Linked DNA regions of Xenopus tropicalis. The protein of the gene in region 2 interacts with the protein of the main gene of each other region in a pairwise test. Links are inferred from orthologs where the notes say so. Each region holds a gene or a part of one and is shown on either strand. Other genes may lie near its edges. The genes, in order: sh3glb2, morf4l1, mrgbp, nab2 and l3mbtl3.

Region 1 (6,534 bases), on a different chromosome or scaffold from region 2:
CATAAAAACAGCAACTGCATATGTGCCACTGTACAGCAGCCCTATTATACAGATACAGGCAACATAAGTCCAATAAACAAGGAATAAATGGATAATATGGGCCCTAGTGGTTTTTTTTAACCCGTTCAATGCCGACAACAGCTAATCTACCTTTTTGCCTTCTATTTAAATGTATGAAAAAAATGTTTTTGTAATGTAGCAAGCACAATAATTACAACTCCCCCGTGTCATATACATTCTGTCATCATTAATAGGCCTGAAAGCACATGCAGCACAGATAAGTGGAGACCCAAACCCTTTAGCCCCCAGGTTGAACCTGGCACCAAATCATTGCCCTCTTGCCCAACCTAGCCATGATGCAGGAAAAAGGGGGGTGTACATATAAAGTGTATATTTGCCCTTTAAATTGCCCAAGCTTCCAGGATATGCTAAGAGTTGAACCAGTGACACAGGCAGGGCTACACGCATGACCGAGCCAAGCAATTATTCCCATACCCTCCAGCACAGAAAAGTCTGGTGCTGCCCAACCCACAGTCGCCTGACTGATTGCACAACCCCCCCTTCCTGCAGTGTGACCCCTCACCTACAGGCACAGTCGCCAAGTATTGCGACCAGCAGTGCGGTTCATGAGTTGTGTCTCCCCAACAGCCGTCACAACACACTTGCCCTGAAATACCAAGGCTGTGGGGCTCACACACATAAGCAGTAGATTAAGGGACAAGAAGCACTTGTGATGGGGACCTTAGATTGTAAGCTCCATTGGTGCAGGGGCTGATGGGAATGCATAGGGGAATTGGTTGCCTGGCAACAGTACAGGGTGCTGAGGTACATCACTGGCGGCAACAATAAAATCCCTGGAGTGGCATTGCCCATGAGATAAGCCAAGTCGGCATAACCCTTTCATTACACATAATACTGGCGCTATTAACCTATTCAGTGCCAGGGTGGGGTAAGTAGGGACCTCTGATCCGTGTTGCAGTCACATGCCTGATAATTACACCACTGGCCTAAGAAAGGACTTGAAGGCGTAGGAAAGCTTAATAGTGAAAGGAGGAAGTATGGGAGCGGCCAGGGAATGCTGGGAGTTTTAGTTATAACAGCTTGTGTGCTAAAGGGTTGGGCCTAAGAAGTGAGGTTACAGGTGGGCTTATTAGTCTGGGGCCACTGGCCCTTTGCCCTTCCAGCTCCAGTGCAAGGGGGCGCAGGGATTTGTTATTCCGTGAGGCAGAGAAGTGTTGGCACCCCCCTTAAAACTGGGCACAGATTAATGGAATGAATGCTTGCTCTAATGCAGACTGCACTGATTTCTCTGCAGCCCTACAGTATGGGCCTTTAATAAAGTCTCAATAATACCTACACGCAAAATAAAAAAATATTTATATGCATTTAAATATAAGGCACTGGTAATTACTGTGTTTGCTTTAGAAGCACTACTTGGACTTATGGAGCCACAGTAATATCAGTTTAGGGCCCCTTATAACAAGTGGCAAGACAGCTTTGACTGCATATATATATATATATATATATATATATATCTATATATATATATATATATATATATATACATATGTATTACAATAGAGCATGTTTTGGGGCTTCACAGGACCCCCAGGTAATATGATGTGAGGGTCTGCTCACCCATTGTTACATTCCCGGAAGGCATGTTAAGCTAGAGTTGGCAAAGCTACAATGTTTTTGGGTGGGCATGGGTAATGAAAGTGGTATATAGGTGCTGGGTAAGGGTACAGTGAAGTTAAGGGTACAGGGTCAATGAAGAGGGCATAGCTACAATGTATTTGGGTGGGTGTGGGATTCATTGGGGAGGTGGGCAATGCTAAAATATAATTGGGAGGGACATAGCTAATTAAGTACTATAGGGGAGATGTATTTGGTTGGATATTTTTAATGAAGGGGTACAGAGGAGGGGAGCAAGGGTACAGTAACGATGAGGATAAAGAATATAGAGGGTATTGCTACAATGTATTTGGATGGGCATGTGTAATAAGGGGGGGGGGGTTCAGGGGAGATGTGTAAGGCTCTTTGGGTGGGCAGGGGTAATGAAGGTGTATAGAGGAGAAGCAAGGCTATGATGAATTTGGGGGCATCATTAATGAAAGAGCTATGGGGGGTGGTCAAGGTTACATAGTAGTTAAACACACATAGGTAACGAAAGGTGTATAGGGGGGTAAGGCTACAATATATTTGGTTGGGCGTGGGTAATGAAGGGGTACAGAAAGTTGGCAATGAGTACAGCCAGGACAAATGAAGGTATATAAGTGGAGTACAATGTATTTGGGTGAGCATAGCTAATGAAGGGGGTATAGGGGAGATGGAAAGGATACTACATATTTGGGTGAGCATAGCTAATGAAGGGGGTATAGGGGAGATGGAAAGGATACTACATATTTGGGTGGGCATTACTAATGAAGGGGGTATAGGGGAGATGGGAAAGGATGCTATATATTTTGGTGGGCATTGCTAATGAAGGGGGTATAGGGGAGATGGGAAAGGATACTATATATATTTGGGTGGGCATTGCTAATAAAGGGGGTATAGGGGAGATGGTAAAGGATGCTATATATTTGGGTGGGCATTGCTAATGAGGGGGGTATAGGGGAGATGGGAAAGGATGCTATATATTTTGGTGGGCATTGCTAATGAAGGGGGTATAGGGGAGATGGTAAAGGATGCTATAAATTTGGGTGGGCATTGCTAATGAAGGGGGTATAGGGGAGATGGTAAAGGATGCTATAAATTTGGGTGGGCATTGCTAATGAAGGGGGTATAGGGGAGATGGTAAAGGATGCTATAAATTTGGGTGGGCATTGCTAATAAAGGGGGTATAGGGGAGATGGTAAAGGATGCTATATATTTGGGTGGGCATTGCTAATGAGGGGGGTATAGGGGATGCTATATATTTGGGTGGGTATTGCTAATGAAGGGGGTATAGGGGAGATTGGAAAGGATGCTATATTTTTGGGTGGGCATTGCTTATGAAGGGGGTATAGGAGATGGGAAAGGATGCTATATTTTTGGGTGGGCATTGCTTATGAAGGGGGTATAGGGGAGATGGGAAAGGATACTATATATTTGGGTGGGCATTGCTAATGAAGGGGGTATGGGGAGATGGAAAGAATGCTATATATTTGGGTGGGCATGAAAATAAAGGCGGTGTAACAGAAGTTGGCAAGAGTGCAGCCAGGCTAATGAAGGGGTATAACTAGGGTGGGTAAGGGTACAATGCGGTGGGGCTGATAAAAGGATAGGGTACAGGGGAAGGCGGCAGGCGTACAATGCAGTTAAGGGGGGGGGGATATACAAACAATATATTTAAGGGAGACCGGGGTACTGAGGAACCTAGGGGGCACATAATGGCTGCAGGCTCGGAGCACAAAGTGCAGCAAAGATGGAGCAGGATAAGAAGCATCAGCTGGGAGCGGAGGATGCTGCAGAGGGGAGGGGAGTTGGGTCCCAGAGCGATGTCTTCGCTCCCGGGCCCTTACCTGCACCGCCCGGCTGAAGAACACCCCTGCATCTGATGCCAGCTTCTTCACGCTGAAATCCATCTTGTGCCAGGCTGGTAGCGCACCTCTAGCCGGGAGCCAGCTGTCTGCACTGCCCTGTTCCTGCCCACCCACGGCTAATGCTTACCCACAGGCCGCCTAGTCTATCCCAGAGCTCATCACTCCCTCCCTGCCTCTGTCCATCCGGGATCGCTTGATGCGCCTGTTAAAGGAGCCCTACCATAATAACACTGCACCCAATGCAGTCAGAGCAGCTGAGCCTCACGGGAATTCTTCCGAATTCAGTAATATCATGTAAAAGAAGATTGAAATCATCCACTGATCTGGGATGAGCAACCTGGGAACAAGGGCGAGTTGTGCACTATCTGCATATTTAGAAAGCATTATTTACCCACATATTGTGTACCTTTCTATAGGCTGGGCAGCCATCATAAAATAATATGTCCTCACACTACTTCATCAGTCTGCGTTCACTGGGATTCATAGCTCATTGCCCACTTGGACCACACCAATTAAGTAACTTGGGGCCACAAATGCTCACTTACATGATTCACAACCATGATCTACCTCATAATACCCAAACACACCCCTGATCCACTTATACCCCAGTCATTATCCAGAAAACCCTGATAGTGACCATGTCATTGGGGCTGTTATACTGCTTGGGACCCACTGTATTAAACCTGGTCATTGGGTCCCGAAAAGCTGGTCCAATGCCTTCGATCCTGAAGCCCTCTCTTGCTTTAAAGGGCTCCTTACTGTACAACTGTGGGTGAGATCTAGACACCAGCTCCTATGGGAGCCTTCAATCTCCCCTGCCCAGACCTCTAAAGCCTGGAACACTCATTGGATTCCCAAATGATTAAAAGCCAGACAACTGGCCAACATTCCCATTCTGATATCAGATACAATTGGTGTGCCACTCTTGCTCTCTTTTCTACTTTATACACAACCCTTATTCTGGTTGTCTGGCAACAGTATTCTAGCGTGACAGGTCGCACAGCACGATTGTTCCAGGAACTGCAGGCTTGTATGCATGATTGCTCTGTGTAAAGGAAGGTATGTTGCCCCCCCCTCTCACCATAGAGACAACTGCCCCACCCACAGGTGGAAGGCATATAGAAGGTGGGTGGATTTTTTTTGGTTGGGTGAAGCACCACAAGTGCTGCCCCCACAGGCTGCCAACCAGCCAACTACATTAGAATCTTTCAGTGGAAACAATTGGTGTGGTCTGAACCATATTCTCTGCAGAATATAGGCATATCCTATTTCCACTATTGATTTTCATTTGGACCAGTGTAGTACCCCCTAAAGAGCAATGTTGATTTGTCTGGTGTAATCAGTGCCCAGAACATGTCTGGTTTATCTGGGTTACTGCACTGGTGCAAACTGAGTTGGCCACAGCATAGAAATTACTATTCCCTCACTTCTCATCATGTACTAGGCCTCCCTAATCCACATATGATCAGGGTCTGTTCTCATATAAATCAGGCAATAGGGGAAGTACCCTACTGTGAGAAATTATGAGGCCATGGGTGCAGTCCCCTTGCACCCCAGACCCACTCCCACCAGCCCTAGGACCAAACACTCAGATTAGCCCACTTGTTCAACATACGGTAAGTCTAATTTTCACATACATTGATCAATGGTATTGATCTAAATACCACCAAATACACTGGGCACAGGAATGAAAGGTCTCTGCCCACTGATACAGTACTACCTGTTTATTGAGATTTTGCTGAATTCAAAGACCAAAATATCCTAATTAGGAAACAAGTGAAATAGTCCATGGATATAGGAAGTGCTTTGAATGCATCGCATCCGCTGTCCAGCAGTCCAAATGCTATTGTTATATTAAAACTGAGCTTTATGTTTGTAGAAAGTAAAGGGGCCACTAAACACAGAGTTCTGTTAAGGAATAGGATGTTGAGATCCAAACCACACTATAGAATTTCTTTTAACTGTTTCCTAACCCAGCAAGCAGAAGACATCTGCAAAAGGCATAATCCATTCTGGGATTTCCCAGCATTCAGCTGAATCGATAATGTAAAGATTAATTAAGTGCTTCGGCTTTGGTCCTCCCTGGGTTTCTGCAGGAGTCCAGTGCAATCAGCTTTCTACTTCAGGGCAGGGGCTCACTGTGAATCTACAGGGCTATAAACAGCCGTGGTCATCCGCTCATACCAGGGCTTGATCTTGGTGTTGGTCATCATATCATCGAATGATTCCAGCCCCTCCATCACTCGCATCACCCCGTACACAGCCTTAAAAAATAGGGAATGCACAGATAGGTTAGAGAACACCTGGGGAATCAAGCAGGATCAGACTGGGCCCAGTCACCCTCCCCCGATGCACCCATCACACACAACAGCAAATGCTCACCAGGTCAGCAAGGTTGGGCTGAGATCCTCCCATAAACTTCCTGTGCTTGCCCACGGCCGCCACCCAATCATTGGCTGCGGCATACAGATCCTGACGCACGTCATCCTGAAGATGGTGCCTGCAATTGGGCCACACGAGAAATCACGTAAGGCGACATGGCTACATTAAAGACAATGTGTGGCTCCTAGCATCCCTCTAATGGTTATACTGGTGGGAATCAACGGTTTTGGCTACAGCTAGAGGGCCACAATAGGGCCTAAGCGTGTCTTACCCACATCCCAAGCAATGGCACTTTATAAGCACAGCCACCCACCCTGCACACACCTGCTCTTCAGCCTTTTGCCGATTATGTACATGGCTACTGCTCCTACATATTTAGCAAACAAGCCTTCCACCGGGCCAAAGTTTCCCTCTCGGACAATGTAGTCAAAGGAGGCGAGGGCTTCATGGGGGGTCCGATACACATTGGGAGAGATGAGGTGTACGAGCCAATCATCTGCCCAGCGGCGCCATTTCATTTCTTCACTGGGGGACAGAGAAAACTGTATTTACATCCTGCAGGGAACCAACAGAAAAGACCAAGGTTCCTCCCCCCAACGGGTCAGACTTACACTCGGGATTCTTTGGT
Region 2 (5,977 bases):
ATAGGTTTTTTACAAATTATTTAAGGAAGGGTGTTATCAGAAAGCACTGTAACTTAAACAAGTGTCTCAGTGTTTTCTAGAAATGTATATAAGGCAAATGTATGGGATACAAAATTTAAGTGGTGAAAAATACCTAAAAAGTGAAAGAGAAGCTTAAAAAAAGAAAAAAAAAAAAACAGCACTGCTTACACTTCTACATTCTTCTGTTGAAGGGCAGCAGTCTTCTTTCCTGGTGCTGCTGCTCTCATCTTCCCCTCTACATACTGATCCCTAGATGGGAAAAAAGTCAAAATAAGGAAAGCAAGTTTTTACAACAATATCCTATTAACCTTTGAACAACCGGACTGACAGGTATTTAAAAGATTTCAAAGAGGCCGTTCACTGATTAAATGTCCCTTAATGTATTAGGCAAGTATGAGGGGACTGACAAAAAATTAAAAAAAAAAAAAGTTATGTTTTATATAGTCCACTATGGCATATAAAATTAACAGTAATAATATATCCCACAGTTGTGATCTTGTGCCTTTACAACATCTTGTGGAGCTGAAGGTTCACTGTAATGGCAAAGCAGGGTAAACCCGTTAACCAGAAAGCTCCATATTACAGGAAGGTAGTCCCCCACTGAGTCCATTTTAACAAGATAATTTTAGTTTAAATGATTTTTAGCAAACATGTTATGGTGATCCATGTTACAGAAATATTCCTTTCCTGGAAAACCCCAGGTCCCAAATTTTGGCCCCACTTACTGATTGGCCTTCTGAAGTTCTTTTTGTTTCTGTAAGTTGGTGTCCACGTATTTGAGTACTCTGCTTTCTGGTACCCACTCATCCCAGCTGCAACAAAATTAAGTAAAATTACTGATCATTTATAGAAGTTTAAACAGGTACATACATAACTTTCTACTCATTTAGCACCCGAAAACTACGTAGAGAAATATATGAGAAAAATTTGTATTTTTTCTAATTGTTAGAACTTTTCATATGGACTCCGATAATGTTGTTAAAATAGTACGACTTTTTCGTGGTTTTTGTTAAATTCCACGAAAAAGTTGTATTTTTTTTTGCAAAGGATACAACAATTTCAGAATTCATGCAAGCTTTGGTATTGTGACTTTCTTTTGGCCAGGTTGGAGCTGTAGTGCCATTGAGTCCTATGGAAGGCTTCCAAAATCATGCATTGAAGTTTCAAAGTCAGAAAGGTTTTTGCGCCGTTTGCGATCGTTCGGATACGAAAATTTCAGAACTTAACCACAATTTTTTTGTACGTCCGAGAAAAGAATTTGTGACATTTTCGAACATCAGAAACTATTGTGGTTACTCAGAATTTTTTCCAATTGTGCTTTTAACAATCCGAAATTCGTGGTTTAATGAATGGGCCCCTGTGTGTACCTAAGTTTTAGGGGCACTATATGTCTAATTCTGTTACCCAAACCTAATTATTATGTAATTTTATTACAATCTTTTGTAACAGAGACTTTTTCATCTCTATGAGGGTTTATTCTAGCTATATGAAAGCCAGAACTATACAACGTTATCAGAATAATACTACCTTCAACTGAAGAATAGATATCTAATTAAGTCAATTAAAAATGAGAAATGTCAATCTACATATAACTTACTTCTTATTCCATCCGCTGTAGTGAATGAAGTACTTCACTTGTTTGTCCTTAATGGCAACTTTCACACACTAATATAAAAAGAAAGATCAAACTTTATCTAGTACTCAGAAATGCAAGCATATGACATGAGCTATGAGCAAAATAGTATGCCCATCCTGAAAAAAGGAGTATAGTATTTTCCCTATCTCAGCGGTTGTCAGACTGTTTGCATCTAGCCTTTGTTCTTTCAGGTGCATCCTAAAGAGCAAATGGGTATGCCCCAAAAATAGGCCTTCAGACACAGTCCCATCTGATGCTGTTCCATGCCCTCTCAGGAATAGACCTTACATTTTAGGAACCGCTGTTTGGGTAACATACACGGGACGATTCTAGCTGCCAGTATCGGTCCCTTAGACAGATTCGGCAGCTTATCAGCACGTGTTTGGACACTAACGACAGACCCGCCCGACCAACATCTGGCCTGAAATTGGGCAGATCTCGATCGGGCAGGTTTGAATATTAGTTGGATCGGGGCCCGCGACAGCTCGTTGATGCGGTCCCTGAACCGACGGACGTCTATACACATTGTTCTAAATTGATTACTTGCGACCTTGCCAAGCAAGTGGGTCTTGGCCTGTATGGCAACCATAACTTTTTTATAAATGAGATAAACTGCATACACACTTTACAAACATTTTCTGCAAACAGTCTCCTCAAGACAGCATTTTGCTTTGTTTGCCTTTGTTTGACTGAAAACCGCATCCAATTCTGTTAATTTAACAGCTACAGTCATGCCATTCAACAGTCTAACTTTTTCTATAACCTGCTTCCCATGTTTTAAAATAGGGCACCCAATGCATACCTGCTGTGAAACCCCTCTGGATACATATACATGTGCACAGGCTCAAGAATGCAGCCAATGCAATGCAGATGCCAAGACTTTGAGCTCAGCAGGAGACTTGAGCAGCCATTCCTAAACCTGCTGTGACTTCTCTACTGAGCCTGCTTGCCCCAGACCACCCAGAATATATACTTCTTGTCAGAGGAGGCAAGTACAGCAGGATTATACATCACAACAATTGATCTGTGGTAGACTAATCAAGTACAAACTTTATATATTCCAGCAATAAGGGCAACGGTGAAAATCGCTGTAATCTCTATTTCTTGTATCATAAGCCTGCAGTACAAAATCACATGAACAGCAGCCCTATAATTGAATTATCTTTCTGTTAAGAAACCAATTTAACCCTTCGAAGGACTGGGTTAGAAATGCATCTATAAAGTATTTTAGGCAGAGGGGGGTGAAAGCTCTACTCATAACATAACTTACTGTATTACTGTACTTTCTGTAATTTGGATCTCCATAACTTAAGTCTGTTAAAATGGAGTCTATGGGAGATGTCCTTTCTGTAATTCAGAACTTTCTGAATAACGGGTTTCTGGATAAGGGATCCCATACCTGTACTATGTAAGTAAATGATCCATGTTATCTCTACCCAGCTACATCATAAATGGGGGATGTAATTTACAGAGAATTGCTTTTCTGCATCCACAAATAAGAGCTCTACACCCTTATGGGTCATTATTGTACTCAGTAGATCAATGATGTTCTTATGTGAAGTTTAATTCATAGTAAAAAAAAACAAAAACCTCATATAGGGCAAAGGCACATAGGTTTTTAATTGTCCAGAGATCTGGTAGAAATTCATCTGAACCATAGACATGACAGGCTTTTCATAGACATAGGCTTGTCAGGCAATGGTAGCCTTAAAAATCTGTGCTGTCGGGCAATTTAGTATAGTGTTTCTAAGCTAAAGTACCCAAAATAGTCCCAGGTGTCATTGGCAAGAGGCCAACTTAAATTTTTAATCACCTTCCTTAACATTCATAAAGTTTAACAAAGAAATAATAGTGTGTTCATATTTAGTACAAAGCCTACCTTAGCTTCATAAAGCAGAGGACCATGAAAACACAAGACACGCTCACCTATGAGAAAAGACAAAATTTAATGCCAAGAGAAGTATATGTGCTAGATCACAAGAAACAAGCACACTCAAACCTGTTCCCTACGGATTTTGAGGCTGACTAATGTTATTAAATCTGCCTCATACAGCATATAAATCCCTGCATTGGCTGTTTGCCTCCCTCCATTTAGACAGAAAGTAATGAAATGCATTAATAAACGTTATTGTTATTTGTAGTGGATCAGGTGGACACTACGCAGTGCATAAAAATAAGCAGATAAGCTGTTTAGAGAGTCATGGTTTTGGTATTTTTCTATTTAGTCATCTTACCAGGGAACCCTTTTGCATAGCAACAAACATGCTCAGGAAAATTCTATACTGCACATCTAGCTAGGTGCAAGTGATCCCCTGGTAAATACAGATGCAATGGCAGCTTATAAATATAAAGATCCACCTCATTCTACATTGTGTAAGACGCCAGCCTGGGTGGAAAAATTCAGTGGGGGTTCCTAATATAATGGAATAATACCCTGCCATTAATTAGACTTTAGTTGTCTTTTAAAGCACAATACACTAAGCACTAACAATTGAAAAAAAAGACCTTGTTTATATGTGGTGAGTACATAAGCTAATTTCCTATTACTGCTCATTAAGGCTACAGTTACACAGAGCCCTTCTGTGTCTGCACTAACAGGGGCCACACGCAGCGGATATCGGTGCTGAAATAGGAGTATGCATTTTCATTTCTGAAATAAGCTCCGCGTGTCTGCACACAGGCAGACTCATCTCTTACAATGTAGCTTCCACCCACATACAGTGATGACGCAGTGACCTCTAGTGGCAAATTGCCTACTATGTTTCCTTATATAACTGCTTCTGAATAAAGGGGCTCTCAAACAAGGTGTAACTTTGTATTGCTTAAATAAGGGGGAAATGTATATTGCTTTCTAAATCCATAACAGTATTATTATTAAGAACTATATCGGTTACATAGGTTAGACGTGTGAACAGGACCTGGGCTTAGAAACAGAGCGTACATTTTTTTCCTGTATAATTGCTATTCTAAAACACAAGGATGTTAGAATTAAGGAGTTCCATATCCATATAAATGGCATGAGGCCGAAGTAAAAGTGCTTTTATATAGCTCATGACACTCTACAAAGATGGGGAGACATAATTTTTTTTTTCTAATAATACATAAGTTACAGTAAGTCACTGACAAGTTATTAAAGGGCACCTTAATAGGCGCTTAAGGGGTGACATGATAACTATGTATAAATATATAAGGGGATCATATAATAATCTCTCTAATGTTTTATTTACCAGTAGGTCCTTCCAACGGACACGAGGGCACCCACTCCGTTTAGAAGAAGGGAGGTTCCATTTAAACATTCGGAAAGGATTTTTTACTGCGAGAGCTGTGAAGTTCTGGAATTCCCTCCCTGAATCAGTCGTGCTGGCTGATACATTATATAGCTTTAAGAAGGGGCTGGATGGATTCTTAGCAAGTGAAGGGATACAGGGTTATAGGAGATGGCTCTTAGTACAAGTGAGGGAATACAGGGTTATGGGAGATAGCTCTCAGTACAAGTGAGGGAATACAGGGTTATAAGAGATAGCTCTTAGTACAAGTTGATCCAGGGACTGGTCCGATTGCCATCTTGCAGTCAGGAATTTTTTCCCCTCTGCGGCAAATTAGAAAGGCTTCAGATGGGGTTTTTTGCCTTCCTCTGGATCAACTAGAAGTTAGACAGGTTATATATAGTTATTATGGTTGAACGTGATGGACGTATGTCTTTTTTCAACCCAACTTACTATTTTACTATCACCCTAAAATTGCTTTCCCTATCAGAGGTGCAGCCAAATACAGCCTGCACTCCGGTTGGGGAAAACAAAAAAAAGCCCACTACAGTGTTAGGCATACCGCACTGGGAGTGAGCTCCCGGTTGGGGCAGCCATGACGTGGCACTTGCATGCGCATAACAAGTGAGTGCCATAACTGGCTCATTATGCGCGTGCGTGTGCCATAGAAGCGCGAGTCACATTCTCGCAAGTGCATAATGAGAACTCAGGCAGTCCTACTCATCATGTGCATCATACATGTGCTAAATATCATGACCGCCTGCACGAGGAAGCACTGGCTTTTTTGAAGAAAAAAACCCAAAACCATTGTTTCCCCCAACCAGAGTGCAGGCTTTATTAGCCCTTTAGGCACAGTAATATGTTTAGAATGATGTAGTCAACTGGCAACATAATAATTTTGTTCTGCATTTATTCAATTTTGAATTTACCCTAGTAATCAGGAAGTCCTCTGTATGACAGTCTGGAATATCAGTTTCTGGACATCAACAAACATGTTAACATTTCTATAATATAAAAGAAAACCTAGTCTCACAATCTGCTTGCTTTCTTGTTG
Region 3 (6,508 bases), on a different chromosome or scaffold from region 2:
TTCCCGACCCCACAACATGACACCGGGGCAGTTTCGCAGTGCGGGGCAGATCCCAGGGTTTCGCTGCGAAGGGAAATGAAAGCGAAACCGGACTGGGCCGGGGATACAGGGAACCCAATGATCTGATTGGCTGGAACAGGGCGCCCCCTGGCACCGGGCGGAGGGATAACAGGGGGCAGTTACCGACTATTTGGGAATGTGGCATTGAGCTTGTTCCCATGGCAACTTCCTGTGACCCCTATGGCAATAAGCCTGGCACATTTGGGGCTGAGTTGGCAAATGATATAATATAATCAGGGGGGACAATAGTGAGTACAGGGTAACCCCAAAACTAAAGGTGGGTGCCTGGAAGTGACCCCCAGCTGAGGCAGAAGAGAACCCTACTAGGGGTAAGAGCTATGCCCAAGGGCAAACCCAGTACCGGCCACTAGGGGGCAGCACCTTTCTCAGGACAGAGCAGTTTGTGTTTGGCTGTTACATTCCTGGCAGGTACAGAAGGGGTTAAACACCTCCCATCAGGCCCCGCCCTATTAATATATATATATATATATATATATATAAATCCTGACACCTGGGGGATTAGATTCCCTCCCTGTGTGTCTCTATGGGGCTCAGCGAGGGTGCGGTCTGGCTACTCAGAGGCGGGACAAAGGCAGATAGGGCCACATACCTGTCACTCATACTCCATAGCCAATCACTGGCATCCCCTAGGGGTGGGACAACTCCCTATAGCTCCCCCTATACATGCAGGTTTTACATTTCACACTCATTTGACTTTCAATAATATCTGTATGTTAATAATTTGCTAATATATTTATTAACCCCTTCATTAACCTCTGGCCATATTAACTCCTTCTCTGACCACTGTCACTGCCAAAATCCTAGTCTGTCACCAAATCTTTATTACCGAGGGGGGATTTTTACATTCTCTCCTAAACTCCTCCTCCACCTCTGTAAGAGCCCAGGCCCCGCCCCCGCTGAAATCCTTTTCATGACTGCAGCGCTTGCTATTGCCCATTGCCCCACCCCTGCCCAAAAGCCCCTGAGATGATTTCCATTATGAATTCACTGGATATTGAATTTTTACTATTTGAACCCAGAATGTAGAATAACAAAACACTGATAGGATGAAGGTGAAATTCTCTAATGCCCCCTAATGGGGCCCCCGGGGGGGGGCAAACGATTTCATGTGTATAAATCACAACAGGAGGCGATTACATTGTCCAACACTTTATGTATAAAATCCATTAAAAATATTATTATAAAAACTGCCTTAAATACCCGGAGAGACCTCTGCTGCCCCCTGTAGGGTAAAATCCCGACATCCTTCGGCGGGAATCGATCCCCTGTCCGTCTGCTGAAAGTTCATTATAAATTCATTGAACTCCCTGAATCACTCGCAGGACAGCCCCCGAGACTCTATAGTGGGGAACAGCCAGAGCCCCCCATTCCCTGGAGGAACCTTCTGGGGGGGCCCCAGGCTGCTGACTGTGCCTAATTCATTATGAAAGAGCAAAGTGGAACGTTCCAAAGCTGATTTTTGGGGGGGGGGGGGTATAAAAAAGATGGTCAGCCCGTGGCTAATAGATTAGAGGGGTTGGGAAATGAATTGATTTATTCATCAGTAGATTAACGAGGGTTTGATTGGGCCACAGTCTGCCCAGCCCCCGCGGATGTAGATTCACTACCCCCCCCCCCCACATACCCCCTAAAAATATTTACATCCTTGAGATCTACAGTCTACTGGCTACTGCCCCAGAGCCGGGGCAGAATGTTCTGACTCTCACACAACCCATTAGTTCAGTTACACGCGGGCCGGTTCTGACCCCTTGGGAAGCCACACCCCTTCTCTCAGCCCCGCCCCTATGTGCGCCTGCGCTTGTTGGCGTTCGGGCTGGACGGGTTGCTGTTTGCGTTCTGCACTTTCTCGGTGAGCCGGCTCCGCTTGCGCTTGTCCCCCGATTCCTTGGAGCTGGATTCCGAGAGGGTCCGCTCTTTCCCGGGGGCTTTGTCCAGCCCTTTCCCAGAATTCCCAGAGTTGACAAAAGCTGCAGAGGAAGGAAATACCCATGAGTGAGGCATCTGGCAGGGCCTGTTGCCCCTTAAATCTACCCCTCCTCACGTATATACCCCACAGAAGCCCCCACCCAGGTTATGTTATCTGCCTGGGGCAACTGCTAAACTTGCTGCCCCCAGGTGGCTATACTGTTTGCCCCCTGCTAAATGCACTTATACAGGTACAGGAAGCTCCTCCCCTTGACAATGAGGATATCGATGACTGAAATGTTACTATGGCAACAGAGATGAAGTTCCGACCCCCTGAAGCCACCAAGAAACCACCCATTACCCACAATGCACTTGGAAGAATTGGTCAAGTCTCCCCTCCCCCTGCCGTGTTCCAATAGAGACAATGATAGAGGTGTATTTTTGGTTCCGGAAATGGGCTGAAACGGTTCTGGAAGACCCAAAACTTGCACCTTCGGGTGTTGTTCCCCTTTGAGTTAACGTTTAGTACGATGTAGAGAGGGATATTCTGAGACAGTTTGCAATTGGTCTTCATTTTTTATTATTTGTAGTTTTTTAGTTATTTAAGTTTGGAATTTTAGCAGCTAATTGGTTGCTGGGGTCCAAGTTACCTTAGCAACCAGGGAATGAGAGGCTGGTATATGAATAGGAGGAGGGGCTGAATAGAAAAAAAAGTTACAAAAACGTTACAATAAAACTGGAGCCTCACGGAGCAATAGGTTTCTGGCTGCCGGGGTCAGTGACCCCCATTTGAAAACTTGAAAGGAGGCAAATAATTCAAAAACTATAAAAAATAAATAAAGACCAATTGAAAAGTTGCTTAGAACTGATCATTGTGTAGCATGCTAAGAGTTAACTTAAAGGGGAACCGCCCCCTTAAGCGCTGCCCCTACAGACTCCTCAGGGGCCGAGGCTGGGAAGCTGAATAACAGATTGCAAGCTCCTCAGCCCAATATTTCCCACCTTCATCCGAGCCGCCGTGTATTTCCACTTCCTCCTTTACTTCCTCCTTTAGCTCCTCCTCCGACGTCACCTTCCCTGCAGAGAGGAGGAGGGGACACAGACCTTTAGGGCCCGGCTGTATGGGGGCCCCGGGGGGGGGCACAAGGTTAGTAATGGGGTACAGAGAGCATTAGGTCAGTACCCAGAGGGCAACTGGACCCAAAGGCTGACACTCACCCTCCTTCACCTCCTGAATCAGATCCTCCGGGAGAATGAAGTTCTTCTCCGAGTTTGGGAAGGGGAGAATCTCAGACTCGTGCTGCAACGGGAAAGTAACGGCAGGAGGTTAGGGGGGCGCAGGGGTGGAGCAAACAGCAGGGGGCGGGGCTACCTCACCTGGAAGTGTAAGGAAATGCCCCCCCCATTCCCCGGGGCCACCTACCAAGGCCTGCATATCGTACATGCTCCGCAGGTGCTCCCAGATGACTCGGGATGAGACCTGGCGCCCGATGTTCTGGCTGAACTTGTCCCGGATGCAGATCATGTGGAAGTGGCGGTTCACGCCTGCGAGGGGCAAAAAGAAGAGTCAGTTGTGCCCTGCGTCTGCCAAAGGGTTAATGAGTCCCGTAGTCACATGGTTATTAGGGTTCCCCCTAGTTCTGCCCAAATACCCCCCAAATAGAATGTATTTATACACAGGGGGCAAATCTGCAGCAAAAGCCCAGAGCAACCAATCAGCGATTCTCTTTCAGCCGCAGAGAACAATAGAAACAAAGATCCCATTGGTTGCTATAGGTTACTGCCCAGGACTTTACTTTTGCGGTGTAATTACACTCACTGGTACAATAACCCCAAAGTGCCCGATATAGTGCCCCTACCCCCCCAGGTACAGACACCCAGAGCCCCTCATCCCGCCCCGGGCCGCCATGTCCCGACGCCACCCGGACCGGAAGCCCCCCCTTCCCGGGTTCCCAGATTACGCGAGTCCGGGGATGGGCCGCGGCCTCCACTCACCGACCGGCTTGTGGCCGAGCATCGCATGGAACAGACACACCTCAACCTCCGGGCTCCACAGCACCGGCTCTTCCGCGGGGGGGGCAGGGGGAGGCTCGGGTTTTTCCACAGTAGTTTCCCCGGCCTCTAAATCCCCCATCTCTGCAGCCAATGGGGGGAAACTGCGGGGGACAGCGACTCCTAGCGGACACCATGGGTGTTGCACTGTAGCGCAATATCTATAGCAGCACAACAGGGGGCGTCTATTGGGCAGCAGCCTCTTCCGCTCATAACGGTATCCAGCAGCGGCACTGTGCCTAGTGCAATAGCGCCATCTAGTGCTCACCAGCAGTACTGCACTCAGCCAAACGACAGCGCAGCGAACGACTGATGTTACACATGAGCAGCGCCACCTAGTGTTCCCCAACCGCACTGCGCGCATCTGCAGCTTCCATAGCGACTCTCTGTGGCCAGCGGCAGCCAAACATGTTATTACTTTGAGCGCTATCAGGCTGGAACAGTAAGCGCTGCACTTACACAGCGGCACCCAGTGGGCACGTTTGGTAACTGCACCCAGCTGATATATTACCTTTAGTATTAAAGGAACAGTAACATTAATTAAAGTGTTTTAAAGTAATTAAAATATAATGTGCTGTTGCTCTGCAAAAAACTGGTGTTTTTGCTACAGAAAAGCTACTATATAAATAAGCAGCTGTGTAGCCCCGGGGGCAGCCATTCCTGCACCGGTACAGCTGGGGTGTTTGCTACAGAAACCCTACTATAGTTTATATAAATACCCCGCTGTGTAGCCCCGGGGGCAGCCGTTCAAGCTGGAAAAAAGGAGAAAAGGCACAGGTTACTAAGCAGATAACAGATAAACACCCACTATATGGGGCTTATCTACTAGTTAACTGCTATGTAACCTGTGCCTTTTCTCCTTTTTTCCAGCTTGAACGGCTGCCCCCGGGGCTACACAGCGGGGTATTTATATAAACTATAGTAGGGTTTCTGTAGCAAACACCCCAGCTGTACCAGTGCAGGAATGGCTGCCCCCGGGGCTACACAGCGGGGTATTTATATAAACTATAGTAGGGTTTCTGTAGCAAACACCCCAGCTGTACCAGTGCAGGAATGGCTGCCCCCGGGGCTACACAGCGGGGTATTTATATAAACTATAGTAGGGTTTCTGTAGCAAACACCCCAGCTGTACCAGTGCAGGAATGGCTGCCCCCGGGGCTACACAGCGGGGTATTTATATAAACTATAGTAGGGTTTCTGTAGCAAACACCCCAGCTGTACCAGTGCAGGAATGGCTGCCCCCGGGGCTACACAGCGGGGTATTTATATAAACTATAGTAGGGTTTCTGTAGCAAACACCCCAGCTGTACCAGTGCAGGAACGGCTGCCCCCGGGGCTACACAGCGGGGTATTTATATAAACTATAGTAGGGTTTCTGTAGCAAACACCCCAGCTGTACCAGTGCAGGAACGGCTGCCCCCGGGGCTACACAGCGGGGTATTTATATAAACTATAGTAGGGTTTCTGTAGCAAACACCCCAGCTGTACCAGTGTAGGAATGGCTGCCCCCGGGGCTACACAGCGGGGTATTTATATAAACTATAGTAGGGTTTCTGTAGCAAACACCCCAGCTGTACCAGTGCAGGAATGGCTGCCCCCGGGGCTACACAGCGGGGTATTTATATAAACTATAGTAGGGTTTCTGTAGCAAACACCCCAGCTGTACCAGTGCAGGAATGGCTGCCCCCGGGGCTACACAGCGGGGTATTTATATAAACTATAGTAGGGTTTCTGTAGCAAACACCCCAGCTGTACCAGTGCAGGAATGGCTGCCCCCGGGGCTACACAGCGGGGTATTTATATAAACTATAGTAGGGTTTCTGTAGCAAACACCCCAGCTGTACCAGTGCAGGGCAACAGTACATTATATTGTTATTACTTTTATACACTTTCATTTTTTGGTGTTACTGTTCCTTTAAGGGGCGCTGCGCTGCGCAGGTTTGGGTGGGTTACAAGGGAACCCAGGGCGGAACCCCTGAGGAGCTGGGGATGTTCCTGCTGGGGCAGGGAAGAAGCCAGGACTAAATGTACATCGCAGGAGCCTGTAGGCAGTTTTAAGCATCCCACCCCCATTTACAATAGGCCACTCCCATGTCCTCACCTACAGTAAGTCACTCCCATGCTCCACCCACTATAGGCCACCCCCCCATGCCCCCACCTACAGTAAGCCACTCCCATGTCCCACCCACTATAGGCCACCCCCCATGCCCCGACCTACAGTAAGCCACTCCCATGTCCCACCCACTATAGGCCACCCCCCCATGCCCCCACCTACAGTAAGCCACTCCCATGCCCCACCCACTATAGGCCACCCCCCCATGCCCCGAACTACAGTAAGCCACTCCCATGTCCCACCCACTATAGGCCACCCCCCATGCCCCCACCTACAGTAAGCCACTCCCATGCCCCACCCACTATAGCCCACCCCCATGCCCCCACCTACAGTAAGCCACTCCCATGCCCCACCCAC
Region 4 (5,977 bases), on a different chromosome or scaffold from region 2:
TTAATTGTGAGCTGTAGGGGAGAGTAGGAAGCAGAGATTTTAGTTTGTGCTTAACATTTTAATTAAAATATTAAAGGAAGTGGAACACTAAGAACATCATTTTAAGAACGGATTTATCAATATGTGAGCTTACTCACCCACGTTCTATTCATTCCTATGGGATTTTTAGTAGCGCATTTATTAAATGCTGACTTCTAACTTAATAAAAACACTTCGAGAAATCCCAAAGGAATGTATAGAACTTGGATAAGTTTTCATGCATTGAGCTCTAAACTCACATTTTGATAAATCTGCCCTAAGTGAATTGTTTCTAGCGCCAGGCTAATGGCCTCAGGAGATACTTAAAAACGTACGAACGCTCCGAATGCTTATTTTTCGCACTGAACGTATTTTCTGCGACAATTTCGTACCTTTGCGCAACTTTTTCGTACTTTGCAACAAAATTTGTGCAACAAAATCGTATTGTCGCGCAGAGTATGAAAGTTTTGGATTCATTCAAGCTTCAGTATCGCTCAATACGAAAATTTTGGATCACCAATACAATATTATTGTGACTAATACGATTTTTTTGTGATATTTGCGTTTCGTGATATTTGCGATCTTCAAAAATTATTGTATCCAATCCGAATTTTTCCCATTCGGGATTCGAATTTGTGATTTGATGAATGTGCCCCTTGGTATGTTAAAGAATGTCCTATTCTATTGGTCTTCATCTTATTATAGTTTAATTTTTTGCTTTCCTCTTGTGACTCTTTCCAGCTTTCAAATGGGGGTCACTGACCCTGACAGCCATAAAACTATAGCTCTGAAAGGCTACAATTTTATTGTTTTATTACTTATATTTCTATTTAGGCCCTTCTCTATTCATATTCCTGTCTCTCTTTCAAACCACTGCCTGGTTGCTAGGTTAAATTAGACCCTAGCAACCAGATAGCTGCTGAAATTCCAAACTAGAAGGCTGCTGCACAAAAGCTAAATAATTAATAATCTGAAAATAATGAAAAAATAAAGACCAATTGCAATTGGTCTGCATCTGATTGGTGGCTATGGGCAACATTACTAGAGATATTTATCTCCAGTGTTAGCAAATACACCCTTTATTGTGAAGGAACACCTTAAACTTTCAGTTGTGTCAGTCCTATCCTCAGGATTGGACTGGGCTGCCGGGGCACTGGGAAAAAGCCAGATGGGCCCTGGCTCTAGTGGACTCCGGCGGCCCAGACCCGATTCCCCACAGGGAGTTCCACTGATTCTCCGGTCTCCCTTCCCCGACGCGCCGCAGGTAAGTTTCATTTATGCGCGCTCGGGGGAAGGGGTTGGACGGGTGGGGGGGCCTGCGGGGAGGTGTGTGAAGGCTGCAGCGGGGGCCATTGGGGGGTGCAGGGGCCCCTGAGGCAGAAGCCCCGGTGGGATCTGTATACCCCAGTCCAACCCTGCCTATCCACCTCCCATTCTGAATTGAGAAGAGTTGTACCAATTGACAGGGGAACCCTGGAGCTACCACCACCTCCAGACCTGGGTCAATAGACACAGCGAACTTGCCTCTAAAGAACTGGGCGCACGTCACTCTATGGCAAACACTGGAAATGATGCCAACAGGACCTGGAAAACTTTAAGCGCAATTGCATTCAGTTTACATTAAAGTGCAAGTGTAGTTGTGTTAACTTTGGTGGATCAGCACAACAACAATTCTGGGAAAAAGCTCTGCATTATGAGAAGAAACCATGACGGTTGCGCAAAATTTACTTTGCTCACTGCTTTTACAGTTGTAATTGAGCCCTAATATGAGCAACAAAAGAAATGATGGCTGTTTATGACAGGGTCAGATTCCAAAAGATTCCTTATCCTCCCTCCCCAACCACATCAGTGACATGTTGAGGAGGGTTCTGTGCAATAGTACCAAAACTAAAGAATTGTCAGTGAGGCTTTACTTTTCCTTTGAATAAAGACTTATACAATATATTGACATTATTTTCAAGTGGCTGTAAAATGTCTTTCTTTCACCAAAAACTGAAAAGTGACGGTTGAGTCAGAATTTAGGCAGATTTCTGTATGAGCATGGAAAAAGTGTTTTACACCAGTTTAACACCACTTTTACTCCAAAAAATCTCTTTCTGTCTATAGGAATTTGTGGTCACAGTCTCATTGCACCATGACCTAATGGTTTAAAATTTAGTGATGAGCACAACTTTGCCTTTTTTACACACAATATGGGAAACATCAACACCAACTCATTACACTCTGAGCAGCTCAGTAAATTCTATTGGTACCTCAGCTAAAACAATGAAGAATTAGCAGGTAAAAAGAAGTTTGTGCTGACCTCATGCAGTGTAAGCCTCTTTCCTTCCCGTCTCTTGGATTCACTCCGTCCATAGATGGCACTGTGTCTGCGAATTTCACGTTCCTTCCTCTGACTTCCATTGCCCATTTGGAAAATGTGTCCGAGTGAACGACCCAATTTCTTGTTCAACTTTAGCATTGATCTGGCTTCACTGATATCTCCTCGTGGCAGTCCTTTCATTAGTCTATCCACACTATCGGACACGACCTGGGCTAGCTCAGGTTCTAGCCTTTCCCCAGGTGAAGAATATTGATCACCTCCATTTTCTTCCTCACCAACTTCTTCTTCATCTGCATCATCTAGCTCTGGGGAAATCTGAGCAGTCCACTGTCTCCTGTCTAGCTGGGAAGGGGATATTTTCTCAGCTTGTTCTAGAACAAAATTTCCAGGGCTTTTGCACTGAACTTCAGGGACATTGAGATGCCCATTTGTATTTCTACCAATTCGCCCCACTGTCTCTGAAATTTTGAACAATGGTATACTGCTGCTGACAGGTATATTTCCCAAGGCAGGCTGATTAAACAATCCTGGATTGGTCGCCCAATCTCTCAAGGCTTTTTGTAATCGTCTGACATGCAATGGTTTTGTTGCCATGCCAACCAGAGACATGATTTCCAAAAACTCATCCTCACCCGCCTCACAAAGCTGCTGCACATCATCTCCCCCCTGCTGGATGAAGGTGTCATAATAACCAAGCAAGTTGGCTCTTTGGAGGACACGGTACAACTGCAGTTCACCCAGGGTGCGAGGAAGAATAACTGGGTCCGTAGTGATCCTGCAAGACAGAAATTTATAGAAATGTTACAAAAAAACTTGTTTTAAATGTTTCTGGATATATGACTATAATGAGAACCCAATCAGCACTTCTACCTAGAAAGCAGCCCAATACACAAAATGAAAGAAAGAATTAAATAAAATGGTCCTAATATTCAACAAGGCAAACCAAAATACCAACTTAACAACCCAACTGCAAGGTCTGTATCTGGTAACAAAAACATGTCAAAATAATCAAAAATCTAATGCCTCATTGAACAATAACATGAGAAGAATAAGATCAATAACAAAGAGCAGAAATAAAAAAAAAATACCATATACAGTATAAATGGAAACGATTTTCAATAAATGCCCAAAGCAGCAAAAAAATGATCACAAAACAAGCCAGATATGATGCATCAACTATAACTAGAAAAGTTGTTTGTCATAAAAAATGAACTTGGTTCAGCAGCCCCATAGCAGTATTGGTGGGAGTTATTGGAAATCATCTCAATATTAGCAAATAGGTGACATTTGTCAAATAAGCTGATTCTATTGGTACTTATTAATTCTGATGCAGAATTCATAGCTTTTATACACAACAGAATAGAATTACTATTTAGCTTTGTATTGTGAATGTTATATTACTATATAAAGCTGGTCCCTAAGCTTAGGTAACTGAAAACAGCCTATGGCATTTAATGTGAGTCAGAAGATAAATAATATAGGAAGCTACTGGAGGCATCTTGTGAGGCACAGAATAACTGCTAAACAGGGTTGCCACCTGGCCAGTATTGACCAGCCTGGGCAGTAAATGATCAGCTAGGGCCGGCATAGGTATTACACATTTACTGGCAATGTAATTGCTGGTAAATTTTTAATGCCCTATAAATCATTCCCTCACCCCTTATAACCATGCTCCACCTATAAGCCTGTCCATTTCCCTATCCATTTCCTTGCCCCATCCAATTTTTCCCTGCCCAGCCCACTCCACCCATCTTCCCTCCCGTTACATTATGACCCCCCCTTCCCACCCGAAGGCCAGTATTATTGACAGAAAAAGGTGGCAACCCTACTGATAAAGTGCTGCTGTGGATTTGGGCTGGGTAAGTTTTGCGTAAGTATACATTTTCTTTTTGGAACTTTAAATCTCTTTTAAGCATAATACAGTAGAATTATTCAAGGTTAAATGACAACTTTCACTGGATGTAACCCTATGGAACAGAGTAAAAGTCAGACAGGCTTAAAGGCTATTTGTTCGGGGAGCACATGGGTACTCTGGCCACCACTGAATTCTTCAAAATGCTCTTAGTTTGTTCCTTGCAACTGTTAATGTTTCAGCAGCCATCGGTAACAAGACAGGCATCCCTAGTTAGTAAGCTGGCCATAACACCAGAACTCACGTTAGTCTAGCAGCTTTAGATTTTCTTTAGATATCTCCAGGCTATGAAGAATGATCTGTTACATTTTAAGCTGGCCATACACGTGGCGATTTTCGTTCTTTCGTGTGATCACTGGCCGCACAAAAGATCGTTCCAACCCTCCACTGACGTTCAGGGCTGAATCGTCAGATATGGAGGTAGAAACAATAGGATTTCTACCTCCTTCTGTAGATTCAGCCCTGAAGGCAGATTTTGCTCAGACGCCTTCTATGGCGCCCGATCAAAATCTTTTAACCCGCCCGATTGGCGAGTCGACCGATATCAGCAGCCTTCTGCGAGTTGCCATAGACGCACCAAATATCATACGAAACGAGGTTTTGTACGATATCATCGGTGCGTGTATGGCCAGCTTTACATTGTGATTTACACTCTCATGATTAGCAAAATAGTACAAAGACACACTGCTTCCTAACAAGCATGTAAGCAAATGTTTTGCAAAAGTCTAGTAACCAACAGCAACCAATAAAGTAGTATGTAGTTGCTATGGTTTGCCAGACCTGGTGCAAACTTTGCAACTTTTGTTATATTCTCCAATATATTCATGTAGAACAAAGTATTATATACAAGGACATATAGAGTTTCAACACTCTGCAAAGGTGGGTGAGAACTATGTGCTTGCTGGTCAGCATTCCCCGCTTGATACTGCTACTTGCAAGCAATATTTCCTGTTATGCAAGGTGTCATTGTTGTGTAAATATGTACAATTTCTCGTGAATATGTGCTTAGGATATAAATAAGAAAGTGCTAAATACCACCAACATGCTGCCTTAGAGCACATAGTTTATATATATATATATTTTACCACTTTTATAATTTTCTGTTGTCAATGATTTATCTAAATCTGAAAGAGAATATTTCTTTGTCTAAACTGAGCAGATGCTTGGTAGCAGGCTATGGAGACAGTTGCAGTGAAAGTAGTAATGACTTTGATTTTGGTTTCTGCTCTACTACTGCTTTACAGTATGACCCATAATTGTCTACTGTGTTTTGGGTAATGCCTTCGGTCTTAGATTTGGTTCCAAAACTGTGAAACAGTGACAGGTTTTATTTTGCAATGTCCCCTGATATGGGAATATTGATTCAGTGAAGAGATACTGCTTTGCCAAAGAGAGGACAGCTAGTACAGTCATTATATTGTTTAATAAGGCCTAAACCTCTAGAATGTAACCTATCAACTGAGGTCTATCAATACAGGTATGGAACCTATAATCCAGGATCCTCAGGACCTGGGCTTTTCCAGATAAGGTGTCTTTCCATTATTTGGGTCTCCATATCTTAGGTCTACTTAAAAAGCATTAAATAGGACTGTTTTGCCTGGAATAAGGACTAATTATATCTTAGTTGGGATCAAATACAAGGTACTGATTTATTATTACAGGGAAAAAGAAAATACTTTTTTAAAGATTAGCTTATGATGGAGTCTATGGGACATGGTCTTCCT
Region 5 (6,680 bases), on a different chromosome or scaffold from region 2:
AGGAAGGGTTGCAATGCCGTCTCTCCAATCCAAAGCATTCATCAGGTCAAAGTCAGAAACAGGTCCCTGAGACATTTCCCTACCCCACCTGGAGACAAAGTGCAATTACAGTTAAAAGGAGTATAATGCATTTTCGGTACTTTACATCAGGGCTTCCCAACCTTTTCAGCAGCACGGCCCGGTAGGAGGCAAATTTTTTTTCCCACGGACCAAGGGGGGCGGGGCGCGCCGCGTAATACATGCGACGCGCTGGGGAGGGGGGGTGCGCTGCGGCCCACTGCCCTGCTGTCCACGGCCCGGAACTGGTCCGCGGCCCGGCGGTTGGGGACCCCTGCTTTACATGACTCTCTTTAATTTCGAAAAAGCCATAATTAATCTAGAATGCTTTGGACCTTTGGATCTTTCCGTAATGTAGATCACTTGACCATAAATCTGCTTAAAATAATTAATAAATACACTGTTTTATTAGTGTAGAGAAAAAGGAAATATTTTTTTATATATGGTTGCTGCACCATATATACATATATACAGTGGTGCTTGAAAGTTTGTAAATTTTCTATATTTTTATATGAATGTGACCTAAAACATCTAAAAGTAGATTAAGAAAACCTCGTGTAACAAATGAAACAAAATTTATTAGATTTCGCCATATATTTATTGAAAAAAATGATCCAATAACATATATGTATCTGGCAACAGTAAGTGAATCATGCTCTCAGTATTTGGTGTGACCCAATTGTGCTGCAATAACTGCAAATAAATGTTTGTGGTAACTGTCAGTCCTGCACATCGACTTAGAAGAATTTTAGCCTATTCCTCCATACAGAACAGCTTCAGCTCTTGGATGTTGGTGGGTTTCCTCAAATGAACCACTAACTTTAGGTCTTTCCACGACATTTCAATTGGATTAAGGCCAGGACTTGGCCATTCCAGAACATTCACTTTATTCTTCTTTAACCATTCTTTCATAGAATGACTTGTGTGTTTAGTATTAGTTGTTGTGCTGTATGAACCACTGAGATTCAGTTCATGGACAGATATCTTGACTTTTTTCTTTAGAACTCTCCGGTATAGTTCAAAATTCATTATTCCACTAATAATGGCAACCTGTCCTGGCCCAGATGCAGCAAAACCAGCCCAAACCAGAACACTCCCACAACCACATTTCACAGATGGGAAAAGGTACTTATGCTGGAATGCAGTGTTTTACTTTCTCCAAATGTAACTCTCCTCATTTAAGTAAAAAAGTTCTATTTTGGCTTTATCCATCCCCAAAACATTCTTCCAGTATCCTTCTCATTTGCCCCCATCATGTAATAACAAGTGGTGGGGGCAAAGACAAGGGAGCGCAGAGTAGGAGTAGGCAGGAGAGGTACCTGCCTGGCACACCCATTGTTGCACCCTAGGCAGGTGCTTCTTCTGCTTACCCCTAGTTCCGGCGCTTCCCTGGTTTCCTTTGTAACTTCTCGGACTATAAGACACCTTCCAGATGGAGTTATTTTTGATGGTCAACCACTTCTGGGTAGGGTAACAACAGTCTTAAATTTCCTCCATTTGTATACCATCTGTCTGACTGTTGATTGGTGGAGTCCAAACTCTTTTGAGATCATGTAATCTTTTCCAGCTTTATGGGCATCAACAACTCTTTTTTTTGAGGTCCTTAGACACCTTGTTGAGCTATGATACACATCCACAAATGTGTTGTATGTGTGATCAGGCTTTGCTGGTACCCCCTTTTTATTTTATATAAAACAGGGTCTCTAACTCACACCTGATTGTCATCCCATTGACTGAAAACACCAGACTGAATTCACCTTCAAATGATATGATAATCCTAAAGATACACTTATTGTTGCTACATGCAGATATGTTATTGGATCATTTTTTTTTCAATAAATACATGACCAAATATAATAATTTTTGTTTCATTTGTTACACTAGGTTTTCTTATTACTTTTAGGACTTGTTTGAAGATCAGATGATGTTTTAGATCAAATTCACAAACTTCCAAGCATCACTGTACGTATGTATGTGTGTGTGTGTGTGTGTGTGTGAGTATGGTGTATATGCTGTGGAAATGTGCTGCCAGGAATACCAGGAATTAAATATTGAAAAAAATAATAAATATACCAAGGAAAACATTTAAACAAGATTTTCAGATTATAAACTCATTTGGACAATGCTTTACCTCTTGCATTAGTTATTGGTTGTTTCTGTATGTAAATTTGTATGTTTAATCCATACATACTTATTATTAGTTTATAGGGCTACATATTGGTGCTTTATAAATATGTGTTAATATTAATAATTAGTCACTCACAGCACATTATAACAAGCATTTAAAATCTTTTGGTCATATATAGGAATCATTGACAAAACCTTAATTGTATCCAGTTAAAATTAATTACATATATAACATATTACATACTAATATTTTATATATATATATCTATATATATATATATATATATATATCATGAAATAATCCATGGCCGGCACACCCTTAAAATTCAAAAAAAAACCAGGTTTTTAAACAATGAGTTTTCAATAAAAAAATTTTTTTGAATTTTAAGGGTGTGCCGGCCATGGATTATTTCATGCTAAATACTCAGATTTTGGCTGTGCACCCCACAGAATACTAAAGCCTTGGAGTGCAGACACCATCAGGACTGATATATATCCCCTTTCTGACATAGGGTCAGTTGGGTTTATGTAAAAAAACAAGGATAAACACTTAACAGTATTCCTCAGATTGAGAATAATACATAATCATCTGCTTCTCTGCTTCTAATTAACAGGGATTATTTTTCACTATCCATACAACCGCTCCTTGATCTTTTGTCATGTGATATTATCCAGAGACGTGAAGTTCCTCTCAGAGGAACTCCTCAGAGAATTTATGCACCTCCCACCATGGAAGCACAGGGACTTCAAGCCCCAGAATGTATCACCTTTATATGGAAAAAGATAAGGGAGGGGTTATATGAATCTGCCAGCCTTAGGGGGATGGGGAAATGGTCCCTGTGAGCCACAGGCACACTACTGTGTATTTCCTGGATTATTAAAAAAAAAAAAAAAGAAAATTATATATGGGCAGTTCAGATAAGTAATTTCAGTTTGTGAATTTCATATATTAATATGAATTACACAGCCTTGTACAGTGACTTCTACTGTATATTGAGAGTTGGTCCCTAAGAGCCAGTAACTGACAGCTGTACAGATTGCATGGTGCAAAACAGCTGAAAAAAATGGGGAGCTACAAGGGCATCTTTGGGGGGCACAGATCTTCACTAACAAGGTGCTGTAGTGGCTAGTATGCAATCCCAACACCTGATGTCCAGCTAGGCTACTGTGTTAAGCTTCCTAAATTAGTGAAAAGTATGTTAACATCTCAAAATGAAATATATTTGTTTTGATGCATTCAGCATGCATTCCCATAGTTGGATATTTAAAGAGGTGTGCGGTGGCAAACCCTTCCATTCCAGTCAAGACACAAGTAAAGCAGAGATATACTCCTAATATAAGACTACAGCATTTATGGCTTATTTTAGGAATGTGTAAAAGTGTAGTTAATGTTACTACCTAAAACTAATAGTAAAGTTGCTGCAAGTTTGCATGGAAGGTTTTCTCTGAAAGCATTTTTAAAATCTAGTTATATAGTTTATATAGACTGCTAATTTTCTATGCTAGTATTGCAGGGAACAATAATTCTTATTATGTGCACCCCTTTCTCAATATATAATACTCCATACTCCTCAGCCAGTTTTCTGGCAATCCTGGAGCAGTTTATTGTGTTAAACTGATCAACCTGGAGATGATTAAAGTCCTGAAACATTCTGTAATAGGAGGGAGGGGGGATTGCTGCGGTAAGTCAGGACAGTGTGCAGCAGGTTAGGAGTGCTGGGGTGCAGCTTGCCTGCCGGATACTGATCCGTCACTGTACTGCTAGCTCTCTAATAAGCATCACACACAGTTTCCTGCAATATCACGGCTCTCTATTCCTCTGGCTGCAGCTATTCCCTCATTTCCCCGTTTGCAAAGCAACACTACCCCACACACGGCAAAACTCCCCTCTCACTATGCAGACCATCACTTCTCACCACTCTTCTCTCTCCCGGAGCCACCTCTTCCACCATAAGATGGCGTCAGGGGGCAGATCCTAAATTCACACCGCCTCTCTTTGTTGCTACGGTAACACAGCACATTCCCACCCACTGCCCCCCGCCAATCAAGCAGGGTAATTTAAGGGGCAAAGAGTGGGGCAATTAGGAGTTCTGTTTTATTAGTTGCAGTCTGAATGATTATAAATTTGGTATGATAAGGATAATATAGTAGCCCTATGTGGTAACTCCAAAGTTCTGAGCATTATTGAGAAATTGAGTTTTCAAGAGAAATGTAACCACATTTATTATGGAGACTGGCATTAACTAAAAAGCTCGCCTACAGGGGGCGCAAAAGTAAAATAAATAGCTGCCACCGAATTGCGTTCGATTAAGAGGAGTGGTTTATCCGTGACTGCCCGGCTATGGTGGCTAATGCGTGGCATTCCAGTGCTTTGTACAGCTACATAATAAAGCATAGCATTGAAGAACAAAAAAAACATGAGTCTAGGTTGATAAAATATGTATACTAGGGGAAAACAGTATTTCTGAAAATAATCACCCAGCAAATTAACTTTGTGGTTAATTTAAAGGACATGTCAAAACCAAAAATAATGTTTTGCCTAATAAAAGAAAACATAACTATAAGCAACTTTCCAATATGCATTTATTAAACATTTTAGAGCTTTAAAAGTAATTTGTAATTGCTATAGAAAGCAGCATTTGCTGAACCCCTGGTTATGACTTTTTAAACAATGTAGGTCAGGCTCCTCCAGCAAGGCAGGTCTGTCAGTCTGCTGCCTTGTGTTACATTGTTTCAAACCCCAGAGCCACCAGGGCAGAGAGTAGAAAGGACAGGCAGACACTGCTTTAAAGTAACAGTAACACCAAAAAATGAAAGTGTTTTAAAGTAATTGAAACATAACGTACTGTTGCCCTGCACTGGTAAAACTGGGGTGTTTGCTTCAGGAACACTACTATAGTTTATATAAATAAGCTGATGTGTAGCCATGAGGGCAGCCATTCAAGCTGGAAAAAAGGAGAAAAGGCACAGGTTACATAGCAGATAACAGATAAGACACCATTGTATTCTACAGGGTTTATCTGTTAGCTGCTATATAACCTGTGCCTTTTCTTCTTTTGAATGGCTGCCCCCATGGCTACACACCAGTGTTTATATAAACTCTAGTTATGTTTCTGAAGCAAGCACAAAACTTTTACCAGTGCAGGGCAGCAGTACATTATAGTTTAGTTTTTTTTAAATTTATAATTTTTTTGGTGTTACTGTTCCTTTAAACAGCAGCTATACAGTCATGGTCAAAATTGTTGGCACCCCAGAAAGTATTTCTCACAGAAAAGTATTGCAGTAACAGATGTTTTGCTATACATATGTTTATTCCCTTTGTGTGTATTGGAACAGAACAAAAAAGGGAGGAAAAAAAGCAAATTGGACATAATGTCACACAAAACTCCAAAAATGGGCTGGACAAAATTATTGGCACCCTTTCAAAATTGTGGATAAATAAGATTGTTTCAAACATGTGATGCTTCTTTAAACTCACCTGGGGCAAGTAACAGGTGTGGGCAATATAAAAATCACACCTGAAAGCAGATAAAAAGGAGAGAAGTTCACTTAGCATTGCGTGTCTGTGTGTGCCACACTAAGGGGGAGATTTACTAATCCATGAACGGTCCGAAGGCGTCCGAATGCGGTTTTTCTGTAATGATCAGTATTATTGCGACTTTTTCGTCGCCGTCGCAACTTTTTCATATATTTTCCGCAACTTTTTCATCGCCGTAGCGAAAAAATCGGATTGGTTTTTCCGCCGTTTACTATAGCTCAATACAAAAAAAGCGTGACGCCGACAAAATAGTCGCGCAAAATACGAAAAACAAATTTTTGTTTCCAATACGATTTTTTTCCCTTTCGGGATTCGGATTCGTGGATTAGTAAATCTGCCCCTAAGCATGGGCAACAGAAAGAGGAGAAGAGAACTGTCTGAGGACTTGAGAACCAAAATTGTGGAAAAATATCAACAATCTCGAGGTTACAAGTCCATCTCCGGAGATCTAGATTTGCCTTTGTCCACAGTGCGCAACATTATCAAGAAGTTTGCAACCCATGGCACTGTAGCTAATCTTCCTGGGTGTGGACGGTAGAGAAAAATTGATGAAAGGTTGCAACGCAGGATAGTCCGAATGGTGGATAAGCAGCCCCCAAACAAGTTCCAAAGAAATTCAAGCTCTCCTGCAGGCTCAGGGAGCATCAGTGTCAGCGCGAACTATCCGTCGACATTTAAATGAAATGAAACGCTATGGCAGGAGACCCAGGAAGATCCCACTGCTGACACAGAGACATAAAAAAGTAAGACTACAGTTTGCCAAAATGTACTCGAGTAAGCCACAATCCTTCTGGGAAAACGTCTTGTGGACAGATGAGACCAAGATAGAGCTTTTTGGTAAAACACATCATTCTACTGTTTACTGAAAACGGAATGAGGCCTACAAAGAAAAGAACACAGTACCTACAGTGAAATATGGTGGAGGTTCAATGATGTTTTGGGGTTGTTTTGCTGCCTC

Evidence for each region.
Region 1: the proteins of morf4l1 (region 2) and sh3glb2 interact in a two-hybrid assay, tested with the Homo sapiens proteins (2 studies listed by BioGRID and IntAct). The link is inferred for Xenopus tropicalis from reciprocal best matches to the Homo sapiens genes MORF4L1 and SH3GLB2.
Region 3: the proteins of morf4l1 (region 2) and mrgbp interact in binary tests that used the Homo sapiens proteins (3 or more experiments, as listed by UniProt). The two-hybrid records come from large-scale screens. The link is inferred for Xenopus tropicalis from reciprocal best matches to the Homo sapiens genes MORF4L1 and MRGBP.
Region 4: the proteins of morf4l1 (region 2) and nab2 interact in binary tests that used the Homo sapiens proteins (3 or more experiments, as listed by UniProt). The two-hybrid records come from large-scale screens. The link is inferred for Xenopus tropicalis from reciprocal best matches to the Homo sapiens genes MORF4L1 and NAB2.
Region 5: the proteins of morf4l1 (region 2) and l3mbtl3 interact in binary tests that used the Homo sapiens proteins (3 or more experiments, as listed by UniProt). The two-hybrid records come from large-scale screens. The link is inferred for Xenopus tropicalis from reciprocal best matches to the Homo sapiens genes MORF4L1 and L3MBTL3.

What each region holds. Positions count from the first base shown.
Region 1 is NC_030684.2:22,815,561-22,822,094, reverse strand, and holds the start of sh3glb2 (endophilin-B2), read right to left. Parts: upstream 3,644-6,534; 5' UTR 3,567-3,643; coding exon 3,504-3,566; intron 1-3,503. Other genes in the region: ptges2 (prostaglandin E synthase 2), read right to left, coding at 5,660-5,788, 5,907-6,024, 6,231-6,431, 6,518-6,534.
Region 2 is NC_030679.2:118,087,014-118,092,990, forward strand, and holds part of morf4l1 (mortality factor 4-like protein 1), read right to left. Parts: intron 5,928-5,977; exon of another isoform or gene 5,853-5,927; intron 3,584-5,852; coding exon 3,537-3,583; intron 1,687-3,536; coding exon 1,619-1,686; intron 834-1,618; coding exon 747-833; intron 271-746; coding exon 190-270; intron 1-189. UniProt on the Homo sapiens protein: Component of the NuA4 histone acetyltransferase (HAT) complex which is involved in transcriptional activation of select genes principally by acetylation of nucleosomal histones H4 and H2A.
Region 3 is NC_030686.2:2,536,643-2,543,150, forward strand, and holds mrgbp (MRG/MORF4L binding protein), read right to left. Parts: upstream 4,160-6,508; 5' UTR 4,121-4,159; coding exon 3,982-4,120; intron 3,532-3,981; coding exon 3,410-3,531; intron 3,287-3,409; coding exon 3,205-3,286; intron 3,064-3,204; coding exon 2,989-3,063; intron 2,049-2,988; coding exon 1,864-2,048; 3' UTR 1,218-1,863; downstream 1-1,217. Other genes in the region: opioid growth factor receptor-like, read right to left, coding at 1-18.
Region 4 is NC_030678.2:139,238,075-139,244,051, reverse strand, and holds part of nab2 (NGFI-A-binding protein 2), read right to left. Parts: intron 3,117-5,977; coding exon 2,321-3,116; intron 12-2,320; coding exon 1-11. UniProt on the Homo sapiens protein: Acts as a transcriptional repressor for zinc finger transcription factors EGR1 and EGR2. Isoform 2 lacks repression ability.
Region 5 is NC_030678.2:83,383,244-83,389,923, reverse strand, and holds the start of l3mbtl3 (lethal(3)malignant brain tumor-like protein 3), read right to left. Parts: upstream 4,174-6,680; 5' UTR 4,137-4,173; coding exon 4,072-4,136; intron 89-4,071; coding exon 1-88. UniProt on the Homo sapiens protein: Is a negative regulator of Notch target genes expression, required for RBPJ-mediated transcriptional repression. It recruits KDM1A to Notch-responsive elements and promotes KDM1A-mediated H3K4me demethylation.